Callithrix jacchus: one gene and its partners. The protein of the gene in region 1 interacts with the protein of each later gene in a pairwise test. Links are inferred from orthologs where the notes say so. Each region holds a gene or a part of one and is shown in the gene's direction. Other genes may lie near its edges. The genes, in order: SAT1, TCF25 and DMRT3.

Evidence for each region.
Region 2: the proteins of SAT1 (region 1) and TCF25 interact in binary tests that used the Homo sapiens proteins (3 or more experiments, as listed by UniProt). The two-hybrid records come from large-scale screens. The link is inferred for Callithrix jacchus from reciprocal best matches to the Homo sapiens genes SAT1 and TCF25.
Region 3: the proteins of SAT1 (region 1) and DMRT3 interact in binary tests that used the Homo sapiens proteins (3 or more experiments, as listed by UniProt). The two-hybrid records come from large-scale screens. The link is inferred for Callithrix jacchus from reciprocal best matches to the Homo sapiens genes SAT1 and DMRT3.

Annotation. Positions count from the first base shown.
Region 1 is NC_133524.1:24,515,516-24,519,259, forward strand, and holds the start of SAT1 (diamine acetyltransferase 1), read left to right. Parts: upstream 1-1,290; 5' UTR 1,291-1,397; coding exon of another isoform or gene 1,398-1,471; coding exon 1,472-1,537; intron 1,538-1,814; coding exon 1,815-1,866; intron 1,867-1,956; coding exon 1,957-2,040; intron 2,041-3,456; coding exon 3,457-3,558; intron 3,559-3,651; coding exon 3,652-3,692; intron 3,693-3,744. Other genes in the region: uncharacterized protein LOC144581000, read left to right, coding at 1,398-1,487. UniProt on the Homo sapiens protein: Enzyme which catalyzes the acetylation of polyamines. Substrate specificity: norspermidine = spermidine >> spermine > N(1)-acetylspermine. This highly regulated enzyme allows a fine attenuation of the intracellular concentration of polyamines.
Region 2 is NC_133521.1:47,532,542-47,536,185, forward strand, and holds part of TCF25 (ribosome quality control complex subunit TCF25), read left to right. Parts: intron 1-539; coding exon 540-670; intron 671-1,895; coding exon 1,896-1,995; intron 1,996-3,009; coding exon 3,010-3,103; intron 3,104-3,644. UniProt on the Homo sapiens protein: Component of the ribosome quality control complex (RQC), a ribosome-associated complex that mediates ubiquitination and extraction of incompletely synthesized nascent chains for proteasomal degradation.
Region 3 is NC_133502.1:107,433,878-107,437,621, forward strand, and holds the start of DMRT3 (doublesex- and mab-3-related transcription factor 3), read left to right. Parts: upstream 1-1,255; 5' UTR 1,256-1,867; coding exon 1,868-2,321; intron 2,322-3,744. UniProt on the Homo sapiens protein: Probable transcription factor that plays a role in configuring the spinal circuits controlling stride in vertebrates.

The DNA of each region.
Region 1 (3,744 bases):
CATCATCACATATCCTGTAAATGTATAATTATTTCAAAAAAAAGTTAAAGGAAATGAAGCAAGTGGGGATTACAACAACTTTTAACAGCAACTGAAGTTAGAAGACAGATACCAACCACCAATGTGCTGAAAGAGGAAAACTTCTGAACCTCAAAATCTATAAACAGTGAAATAAACCCTTCAAGAATTTTAAGATGGAGGCTGGGTGTGGTGGCTCACACCTGTAATCCCAGCACTTTGGGAGGCAGAGATGGGCAGATCACGTGAAATCAGGAATTGGAGACCAGCCTGACCAACATGGTGAAACACCGTCTCTAAAAAATAAAAAAATTAAAAAAAAGAATTTTAAGATGGGCTGTTCCAAAGGTAGTAAGTTATCTCGATTGTTTATAGTCAGTTACAGATCAAACTCCTTATTTTACTCTCACTACTGCACTTGACTACTGTAATAAAAAAAGAATTTTAAGATAAAGACACATTCAGACAAGCAAAACTGAGAAAGTGTGGCAAAAGCAGATCTTTACTAAAGGAAATTAGGAAGAATGTACCTCAGGCAGAAGGAAAGGTGTCAAGGAAGATCAGAGATTTAAGAAGGTACAAGAAGTACCTTCTTTAAGAAGTAAGAAAAAATATCCTGTTAACTCTAAAAACTACAAGTATAAGGAAAAAAGATTATTGGGAAATCCAAATAACCTACCCTAGGAAATTCTAAAAACCACAAGAATATACAAGCTCACATTCCTTTGGTCATAACAGCAGTGTCATCATTAGACACCGGGTCACCTATGGAAAATTCCATTGCGAGTTGAAGAGGCATATGACGTCTAAAACTAGTTCTGCCACCGAATCTCTAGATCTTGGGATCTGCAGGGCCTCCCGGATCACACTTTGAGAACTGCTGCTTTAATCTTCCTCCCATCTCCTAAGGCCAGGGCTCCTGAGTTTGCTTCCCTGACCCGCCAAGGAGAAAAGAGCAAGGTCAATGGTCGGGGGCCGCAGAGGGAATTCCCCTCCTTTTGCAAGGGTTACTAGAGGACACACGGGCTGCTGGTGAGGTTTCCGGGAAGACTCCACGAAGCGCCACTAGAGGGCGCGACTAGCGAATCCCACAGCGCGCCCGGCCGCCCATGCTGTTGTCCTACGGGTTCACACGGGCTCCCGGAAGAAAGGGTGGTGCCTGGGAGAGGAAGCGGTGCGCCGCGGGGCCGCGACCTCATTGGACGAGAGACCTCCGCCTCACGGCCCAAGGCGGGGCTTCTCGCACTTAAGAGCTGGGCCGGACCAGGGTTCGAGTGCGCAGCTTAGTCGTAAGTCGGCTGAGGTTTTTCCGTCACTCGCCGAGGTTCGCTGGGTCATGGTGCCAGCCTGACTGAGAAGAGAACGCTCCCGGGAGACGAATGAGGAACCACCTCCTCCTACTGTTCAAGTACAGGGGCCTGGTCCGCAAAGGGAAGAAAAGCAAAAGACGAAAATGGCTAAATTCGTGATCCGCCCAGCCACTGCCGCCGACTGCAGTGACATACTGCGGCTGATCAAGGTAGCGGAGAGCCCGAGCTCCCGTCGGGGAGCGTGGGATGGAGATGGCTCCGTTTTCCGGGGTGGGCAAGGATCCACGTCTTGGGGTCTGGGCCGGTGTGAGAGCCCAGCCTGTTCCCTTTTCTGCGCCTGCCTCCCTTCGCCCCATCTCCGGTGCGGCCGCCACCCTGGGCAGGCTGCCACCCCGCCCCACCCGCCCCATTCCCTTCCTCTGAGCTGGCCTGGCCTGAGCCTTATTTTGTTTTCGGCTTCTCTCTCTCCTATGTGCATCCCCCCAGGAGCTGGCTAAATATGAATACATGGAAGAACAAGTAATCTTAACTGAAAAAGGTAATTCAACAGCGGCGGGGTGGGGGAATAGCGTTCGGTGCTTGTCACCTTCGCCGAGGCCATTACCGCCCCTGCTGTCCCTTTTTGCAGATCTGCTAGAAGATGGCTTTGGAGAGCACCCCTTTTACCACTGCCTGGTTGCAGAAGTCCCCAAAGAGCACTGGACTCCAGAAGGTAACCCCTCTCCCCTTCCAACAGACAGAGAGACCGAGTGTTTTGTAAGAAGTAGTGTTGGCTGTGTAGCCCTGACTCCGCAGGCCGAAGTTACTGAGAAGTTGGACAGAAAAAAATAGCAAGTGTTCAAAGTACTGAAGAAAAAAAAAATTAGATACGCTGCACTTGAGAATAATAGGGTAGGGTAAAAGAGTTTAAGTATCAGAGTGCTGTGGAGACTCGGAAGAGTTTAAGTTGCTTAAGTAAGTATCAGAGTGCTGTGAAGACCTGGAAGAGTTAGGTATAATGTCATTTGTTGTAATTCAGTTTCATAAAATGGTTCTTGTTTGACCCTAACGTGACCGTTTTTGTAATTGTGTTAAATCACATTTTTTTCTTTAATTTGTCCCAATCTTCAGGTTACAGTCTCTAGCTTCGCCATGTACATGGCCCTTCCGTGTACATGGATGGGCGGGGAGGTAACTAAAAGATCCTTTACACAATAAAGTAGATGATCATGATAAATGAGGTAAGGTCCTATTATCACACAGTTAAAACACGGTAGATCAGAAACCCACTATGATACTCGCTTCCTGTCTGTTTGCAAAGGAATATAAAATGGCTAGAAAGTTTAATTTGAAACCTTCGCCTCCATTTGGAATAGTAGATACCCGTTAAGAGGGTGTCAGTTGCCTTTTTTTTTCTTGCTGATCCCTGTTGATTGGTCAGAAGACAGCTCAGCTAAAAGGGGAAGTTGTTTGGGTGGGTGCTTTTTTTTCTGACGTCTGTTCCTCAGGCTAGAAGAAATCAGCAGAAAAACAGAAGGGATGAGTACTTTTTAGAGTATGTGGGTGTTACGTAATACCTGTTTCTGGGAAATGCTGCTGCTTCTGACTCAACAAATGGGGAGAGCAAATTGAAAATATGTATATTGGAAGGCAAGTTCTGAAATTAAACATTGTACTTTGGCCTGATGTTCTGACCTTTAAGGAAGCAAGACTTTGTAAACTTACAAATATCGACTATTCTGAACTGCCGTGTAAACCTGACTTATTCCCAAGTCAACATACCAGTATACCAATAGGATGTGAATAATGTGTGTGCAAGTTTAAAACCGTAGCAGTTTTGCTCTGGCAAGTAATGAAAGCTTCCTGAGTGTGAGATCCAGCAGTCTGCAGAGTGGCAAGTCCACAGTTGTAGCCTGACTTCAGTGAGTTCTGATGTGTGCTTTTTGCAAATACATGTTCTCAGAACAGTGAGATCATCCAGCAGTGGCCTGGACTGCACTCATGTAAATCATGAGACAGTCGTGGCTCCTTGTTTCTGTAACACATGCATGTATGTTTTTTAAAATCTATGATAGGCCTCTGATTCTGCAGCTACAACTTTTATGGAATGTTTTCCTTCTCCACATCTCATGTGATACTCTTATTACAGGACACAGCATTGTTGGTTTTGCCATGTACTATTTTACCTATGACCCGTGGATTGGCAAGTTACTGTATCTTGAGGACTTCTTCGTGATGAGTGATTATAGAGGTATGATTGAGTTTGGGGCAGAGGGTCTGAAGAGTTCAGGGCTGTAAATCCTTACAATGACATTTTAAATCGTACTTCTCTTTAACTTTTTAGGCTTTGGCATAGGATCAGAAATTCTGAAGAATCTAAGCAGGGTATGTCGTAGTTTTTGGTTTCCAAATTTGTAAGTTTACTGGATTATTTTAA
Region 2 (3,644 bases), on another chromosome or scaffold:
GGGTGGCCATGGGTTCTAAAGTGCTGTGGCCATCTGTACCACAGCACTCCACCCCTGCCTTTTCACTGCCACCCTGGACATTCACCCCGATCAGACTTGGTCTGGGGGCAGGGTTTGGCCTGATCGGATCTGGTGACCTGTGGACTGTATGTGTCCTTGTCCCTGACACTCCCTCCAGGCCAGTGAGGCCTGAGCTGTATCTGAGTTCTGGGGGGAAACACGTCTTGATAGGAAACTAAAGCAGACAGGATACCGTCTGCTGGTATAGACCAGATGGTGGGTATTCTGGGAAGGTGCCTGGACCTGGGTGACATGCGTAAGTACACACTCAGGTCAAGTTGGTTGATACCGCGGAGGCCTTGTCAAGAACACCAAAAGGGTAGGGGGGCTGTTATGCCCCACAGAGGTGCCCACGGTTCCTGCTCCCAGCACACCCTCCTGAGCAGAGTGGGGGGCTGTGCTTGGAGCTGCTGTGCCGTACAAAGGCTCCCACAGTTTTAGCTCCTGGCACGACCTCCCTGAGCATTCTCCCCTCCCAGGTCTGTCCATGCGGCTGCTGGAATCGAAAAAAGGCCTGTCCTTGTTTGCGTTCGAGCACAGTGAGGAGTACCAGCAGGCGCAGCACAAGTTCCTGGTGGCCGTGGAGTCCATGGAGCCCAACAACATTGTGGTGTGTGGTCCTTACAGCCCGACAGGAGCAGGGCCGTGTAGCCACTGCTGCACTGGGCCATGTCCTTCCGTGGTAACTGTGGGAGGTGTGCGGCCTCCTGCCCTTTCCAATAGGAAGGGTGCCGGTCTCTGCAGGGCCATCAGGCCACGTGACCAGAGGGAGATGTGTTCAGAGGCTCTAGGCAAAGTCCACACTCCGAGGAGAGCCTGGAGTGCTGCTGTCACTGCCCGTTCTTCGAGACCCTTGCTGTGTGAGGCAGGCCTGGGACTTTGGGGCTTCTGGCTGCTGCTGTTGCCTCCTGCTGGCTCAGCACAGGGGAAGCAGCTCAGATTCCCTGCCTCCGGACGGCCCACCTGTCAGTGAAGGTGTCCTCTCCTCACAAACCCCCAGGCTTGGTGCCCCCGGGGCCCGAGATCCTAACCAACCCTGTCCTCAGAACCAGAAGGAGGTCGTCCTCCACGCTCTCTGGACACCCTCATCCCTGTCCATGCCACCTCAGGACTGTGGCTGGGGGCAAGGTGCTTTTGAGAGCTCACCGTCGTCTTCCCTGTGGGAAAAGCAGGCTGCTGGCTTCCACTCCTTATTGGGGCATAGTGGGGAGTTAGGTAGCCCCTGGCCTGGGTGTGTCAGGTTCTGAGTTCCTGCCTTAAATCAGATGCTTGGTTCAGCTTGGCAATAATAACTAGCATATTGTGAGTTGGGGGACGTTGTGACTGTCACCCCTGGAATTAATTTCCCCCAGTTTTTTTTCTTTGAGCCGGAATCTCATATTCTCACCTAAGCTAGAGTACGTTGGCGCAGTCACAGTCTGGGTTCAAGTAATTCTCCTGCCTCAGCCTCCCGAGTAACTAGGATTACAGGCCTGCACCACCCCACCCAACTAATTTTCGTATATTTAGTAGAGATCAGGTTTTGCCATGTTGGCCAGGCTGGTCTTGAACTCCTGACCTCAAGTGAACCTCCTGCCTCAGCCTCCCAAAGTGCTGGGATTATAGGCGAGAGCCACCGTGCCTGGCAGGTTGATCTTGAACTCCTGACCTCAAATGATCCTCCCGCCTCAGCCTCCCAAAGTGCTGGGATTACCGGCAAGAGCCACTGTGTCTGGCCTCCCCTGGTTTTAAATGCCTGAAAGATGGGCGTGCCTGGGAGCTGGTGCCTTGCTGGGTGTCTGTCCCCAAGAGGGCTGCGTGTGGCTTTCCTCCAGGCCTGTCCTCCCTTCTGGTAGGTTCTGCTCCAGACGAGCCCATATCACGTGGACTCACTCCTGCAGCTCAGCGATGCCTGCCGCTTTCAAGAGGATCAGGAGATGGCTCGAGACCTCATAGGTAAGACGGAGTCCCCCACCCTGTTCCCATCAGCTGTGGGAGCACCTCAAGCCATCAAGACAGATGCGGTGGTTTGAGATGTCAGAGGGTGCAGGGGGTTTGCCAGGATATCCATGACAGCTTTATTGAGGTACGACCTGCAGAGCACAAAATGCAGCCATTGAAAGCTACAGTTTGCTGGTGTTTAGTATATGCCAGAGTTGTGCAGCCGACACCATGATCAATTTCAGATCATTTTCATTACCTGCAAAAGAAGCCCCTCAGCTCCTTAGCTCTCCTCCTCCCAGCCCCTTGCACTGCTGTTCTCCTGTTCTGTGGATTTGCCTGTTCCGCACATATCACGTAAACAGAATCTTATACTATGTGGTCTTTTGTCTCTGGCTTTTATTTACCATAACATTTCCAAGGTTCATCCTCACCGTAACATGGATCAGAACCTCATTCGTTTTTGTGGCTGAATAATAATCCACTGTGTGGATAGACCACGTTTTGTGTATCTGTCATTAGTTGATTGCTGTCTGGGCTGTTTCCGCTTTTTGACTATTGTAAATAATAGTGCTGTTGTGAGCTTGCATATGCTGGTCTTATGTGGACACGTTTGTGCTGCACACGTGGATGCCTGGTTCTGACAGCATGTGACACGTTTGTGCTACACGCGTGGACACCTGATTCCGCCAGGATCTGACACGTTTGTGCTGCACGCGTGGACGCCTGATTCCGCCAGGATCTGACACGTTTGTGCTGCACGCGTGGACGCCTGATTCCATCAGGATGTGGCAGCAGTTGTGCCTCGTAGTGTTTAAGGTGTTTCTGTCTCAAGCTCACAAGTTCTGTGGTTGAAATAAACTCAGAGTGGCATCTGGGATGCCCAGGGTCATGTCTGCCCTCTAAGGGTCCAGGATTCTAGTTTTGTGATTTTGCTTCCAGACCTCTCCTCATTGTGCATCATCAGAGGAGGGGCCTTGGTTGCTGTGCGTGGCCGTAACACCCTCCCCTGGGGTTCTGTGCCCACAGAGAGAGCACTGTACAGTATGGAGTGTGCGTTCCACCCTTTGTTCAGCCTCACCAGCGGGGCTTGCCGGCTGGATTACCGCAGACCCGAGAACAGGTGAGTGCAGCCGGCCTGGGGGGCTTGCAGCTCTCCCCTCCCTTCTGCGAATGAGCTCAGAGGCAGTGCGTGACTGCCCATCAGGTTGGACCGGAGCCCACAGACCCAGGGTGACCCGCCTTCCTCTCTCTGGGCTCAAGGATGGAGAGATTGGATTGGCTCAGCCCACATTGACCTTTGTCTGTGGACGCGCCCGATGCTACTCTGGAGGTTGGAGTGGGAGGTCTGCAGAGCCCAGGAGTTCAAGTCCAAGCTGGGCACCATAGTGAGATCTCCATCTCTTAAAAAATAAATAAAAAGAAAATAAATTTGTTTGTGTTAGAAGTAAGCCTGGCTGGGCACAGTGATTCATGCCTATAATCCCAGCACTTTGGGAGGCCAAGATGAGAGGATTGCTTGAAAACCAGTCTGAGCACTGTGGCAAGATGCAGTCTCTACTGAACATTTTAAAAACGACCTAGGCCTGGTGGCACATGCCTGTGGCCCCAGCTGCTTGAGAGGCTGAGGGAGAGTATCGCTCAAGCATGCCCAGGAGGTCAAG
Region 3 (3,744 bases), on another chromosome or scaffold:
ACCCTCCTCTCCTCCGCGAATCAACCTTCTAGGCAAAGGGTTGGCTGCTAGAACGCCTGGAAGTGCTTCCCTTGAATTCACAGCAAACACCAGAGGAACGTTTTCGGGTTGTCTGCTTACTTCCAGGGCAGTACGGAGAAAAGGAAGAAAAGCGGCCTCCCGGAGGGACAAGGGCCTCTGTGCCCACGAGGGGTCCGGCATTGCAGCGGACTTGCCCGCTTTCATCTAGCATTCGATTCCCCGCCAGATGAGCTTGGTGCAAACACTCTTAGAAGCGTACCCACCGAAGGCTCTGGAACTGCCCCGCTTGGCATAGAGCTATTGGGCTGTCCCGCTCCCAGTGTATCCACCTGTTTTTTGTTTTTTTTGTTTGTTGATGGGCAAGGGGGAGGCGCGAGGGGGTGGGCCTTCCTTGTGCATATATAGCGATAGTCTGCACTAGGCCAAACCGGCTACTCTTGGGAGAATGGGAAAACACAAATAATCTAATCGAAGTTTTCTGCTGTCATCTTGTGCAAGGACCCTCTCCCCCAAGACATCTATGACTGGGGTCTGTGGGTTAAGGGGTCAAAAGTGGCCCTATTCCATATCCATAATTAAATCACAGAATCTTTGGGGATTTTAATTGAGTGGCTGGCTCCAGACCTGCGTTTGCCCCCAGTGGCTGCTGGGAGAGAGGGAAGAGATAAACTTGGGGGCGCTAATGTGGCTTCTGCGTCTGCTCCTTGAAAGTTTATACCTGGCGCTTAGCAAATTCTTTCCGGGAGCATGTATGTCCCTGACCTTTCAGGATATTGTTTTATATTAAAACATGGAGAGGAGGGTAGAAAAGTAAAATTTGCCTGCCCCCAAAAAAAGGGGGGGTGGTCATCCTTGGGCCGGCAGAGCTCCACATACATTTTTTCCAAAGCAACAAAAGATAAAAAAAAAAAATACGTTTTAAAAGGAAATTAAGAAAAGAGCTTAACGTTCCCAAATCAACATCACTCCAATCCCCTATCCTAAACTCCACCCAGGTCTGTGATGCACCCCCAACACTCCCGTAGGTTCGGGTTCTCCCGGAGCTGAGTTTCTACGGCCAAATGTCGGGATAAAAGCTGCCTAGGGCTCGGAAAAACGCAGCCACAGGAGGACTGAAGGGAGGAGAAGAGAGAGAAGGGGAGCGGCCACCTCACTCCCTTACATGGACCCCCACCCTCACTCTCGCTGGTCCTCCCCTTCTCCGCCCCACGAGCACGCCGCGTTCCGGAGCGCTGCAGTCTCCCGCTGCAGGCTCGGGTGACGGAGAGGACTTGGAGGAGGGGGCCGTGAGCGCCCCCGCGAGCGTGGCCCGGCTGCAGGTGGCCAGGAAGGTGAAGTGCAGGGACCTGAGGGGAGCAAAGGAGGAGAAAGGCGTGGGGCGGGGAGTGCAAGGAGACCGGGACCCCAGGGGTGGGGGTGACGGTGGTGGTGGGAAGGAGGAGGGGTTCGAGGAGGGCAGCGGAGGAGGTGCTGAGTCCGGCCAGCGCGCAAGGGAGCTGCAGACGAGCTGGTTCAGACCTTAATCAGAGCTTTCGCCCGCTCCTTGCAGCCGCCGCTGCCCCTTAGCAAGGGAGGACGTGCCGACTCGGCTGTGCGCCCAAAGCAGCGGCCCGCGTTGGGGGTTGGCTGGGCGCGAGCCGGGAGGCCGAGCTGTGAGCGCCGAGGGAGCTGGAAAGACGGCTGCGGCACCTCCGGCCGTTCCGGGGCACGCCCAACCGCCGGCGCTACTGGACCAAGGGTCGCGCCGCCCGGAGGCAGCCCCTGAGCGTGCCTCGCAACCCCGCCGTCCAGCGCTCCCTGGCCCGCTCCGGCCTCCAGCCCGCCAACTCATCCGGGAGCCTGGGGCATGAACGGCTACGGCTCCCCCTACCTGTACATGGGCGGCCCGGTGTCGCAGCCGCCGCGGGCGCCCCTGCAGCGCACGCCCAAGTGCGCGCGCTGCCGCAACCACGGTGTGCTCTCCTGGCTCAAGGGCCACAAGCGTTACTGCCGCTTCAAGGACTGCACCTGCGAGAAGTGCATCCTCATCATCGAGCGGCAGAGGGTCATGGCGGCGCAGGTGGCGCTGCGCCGGCAGCAAGCCAACGAGAGCCTGGAGAGCCTCATCCCGGACTCGCTACGCGCACTGCCCGGGCCCCCGCCGCCCGGGGACGCAGCCACCGCCCCGCAGCCGCCGCCGGCCTCTCAGCCGTCTCAGCCGCCGCCGCCGCGCCCTGCTGCCGAGTTGGCCGCGGCCGCCGCTCTGCGCTGGACCTCCGAGCCGCAGCCCGGGGCTCTGCAGGCGCAGCTCGCCAAGCCAGGTAAGAGTGTCTGCGGTGCGGGAGTTTGGACGGGCGCTTGGGCAACTTCGGAGTGCCTGCTGCAGCTCCTCCTGGGAGGCCTGGAGGCAAGGTTTTGGGAAGTGGGACTGGCGGAGCTTTACTTCCTACCCTCCGACAGGCCGGTGTTTCCTCTCCCGGGAGAAGCCGGCTGAGTCTGGACCCAGCGCGGGTGGCACTTGCGCCCGCCGGGAAGGCGCCTCCGGGGAGCCACACCACGGGACTGTGCATCAGGGTCGCCAGGTGCCTTCCCCAGGTTAAAGGGGAATGTGTCAGATTGAGCAGGGAGATAAACGGAGTCGAGACGGGGCCAAATTAAAACGCAGGCGGGCACACTGCCCTACGTGGGGCAGAGTTTTCTGGGCTGCGGGTTTTAGAGGGCCTCGAATTTGGGGGTTGGAATGGTTAGGTGTAGGGAATGAGCCAAGACCCAGCCCTGGCTGACTCTGAGCTGCTTGTGCTTCTGGGCCTTGCCCCGCCCAGCCGGCCCGACCCAACCTGGCCCAGCCCAGGGCCCAGGAAAATTTGAGTGGGGACGAGCATTCCAACTCTGAGAACCCATTGCCTTTCTAGCTTTGCCCCATGCCCTTTCTAACTTTGCTCCGTGGCCTCCAGACTATTGTAATTGGTGAAAAGTTCCATTTAGCAATGACCGTAAAAAGGTCCCGAAAGGCTCCTGAGCTGATAGGGGGACCAAGAATCTGGTGGGCCAGAATTCACTCCTTTGCAGAACCTCCTAGATCCTTTAACACTGTTCCCCAGGCTGCCCTCAGCTGTCTTCGTGGTTTAAAGAGATAAAAAACAAAATCTGATCCCCCACCACCCATCTGTTTCTCTCCTCCAGGCCTCCTGAGCTTGGCAGGCCTGAGTTGGGCCTCTTAGTCTCTCTCCTCCTGGGGAATTTCTAGCTTGCGGTTCTGCCCAGCCCTAGAGCCCTTCTGATGGCTCTTGAAATTCAGCAGACATGTGTTTGGTGTTTCTCTGGGTCAAATGCACAAAGGAAAACGGCCCACCTTCTCCCAGAAGAAGGCATGCTGGAATTAGGAGTGGGAAAGTCCAGAGCCCTCCTGTAGGTAGAACTGTGGTAAAGCTGGTACCTACACTGACATGCCAACTCCCTAAAGACAGTACCCTAGCTTCTGGAGAGAGGCTTTCAGGAGCACTGGACTGCTTTGTCTGGATCCTGTGCAGCTGGGGAAATGATGCAGACTCACCTGTTTTGTGGTGAGTTGACGGGTGGCTGGCAGGTCCAGTTCTTCTGCCCTTTCAGTCATGCTATCCAGGCCCGAAGCTCTGAGAACAAACAGCCTGTGTGAGAGAAGAGCTGGGAATTTTAAAGATGGAAGAGAGTTTGCTGAACTTGAATTTTGTGGATATTTAATCCAAGTTAGCATATAAACATTTC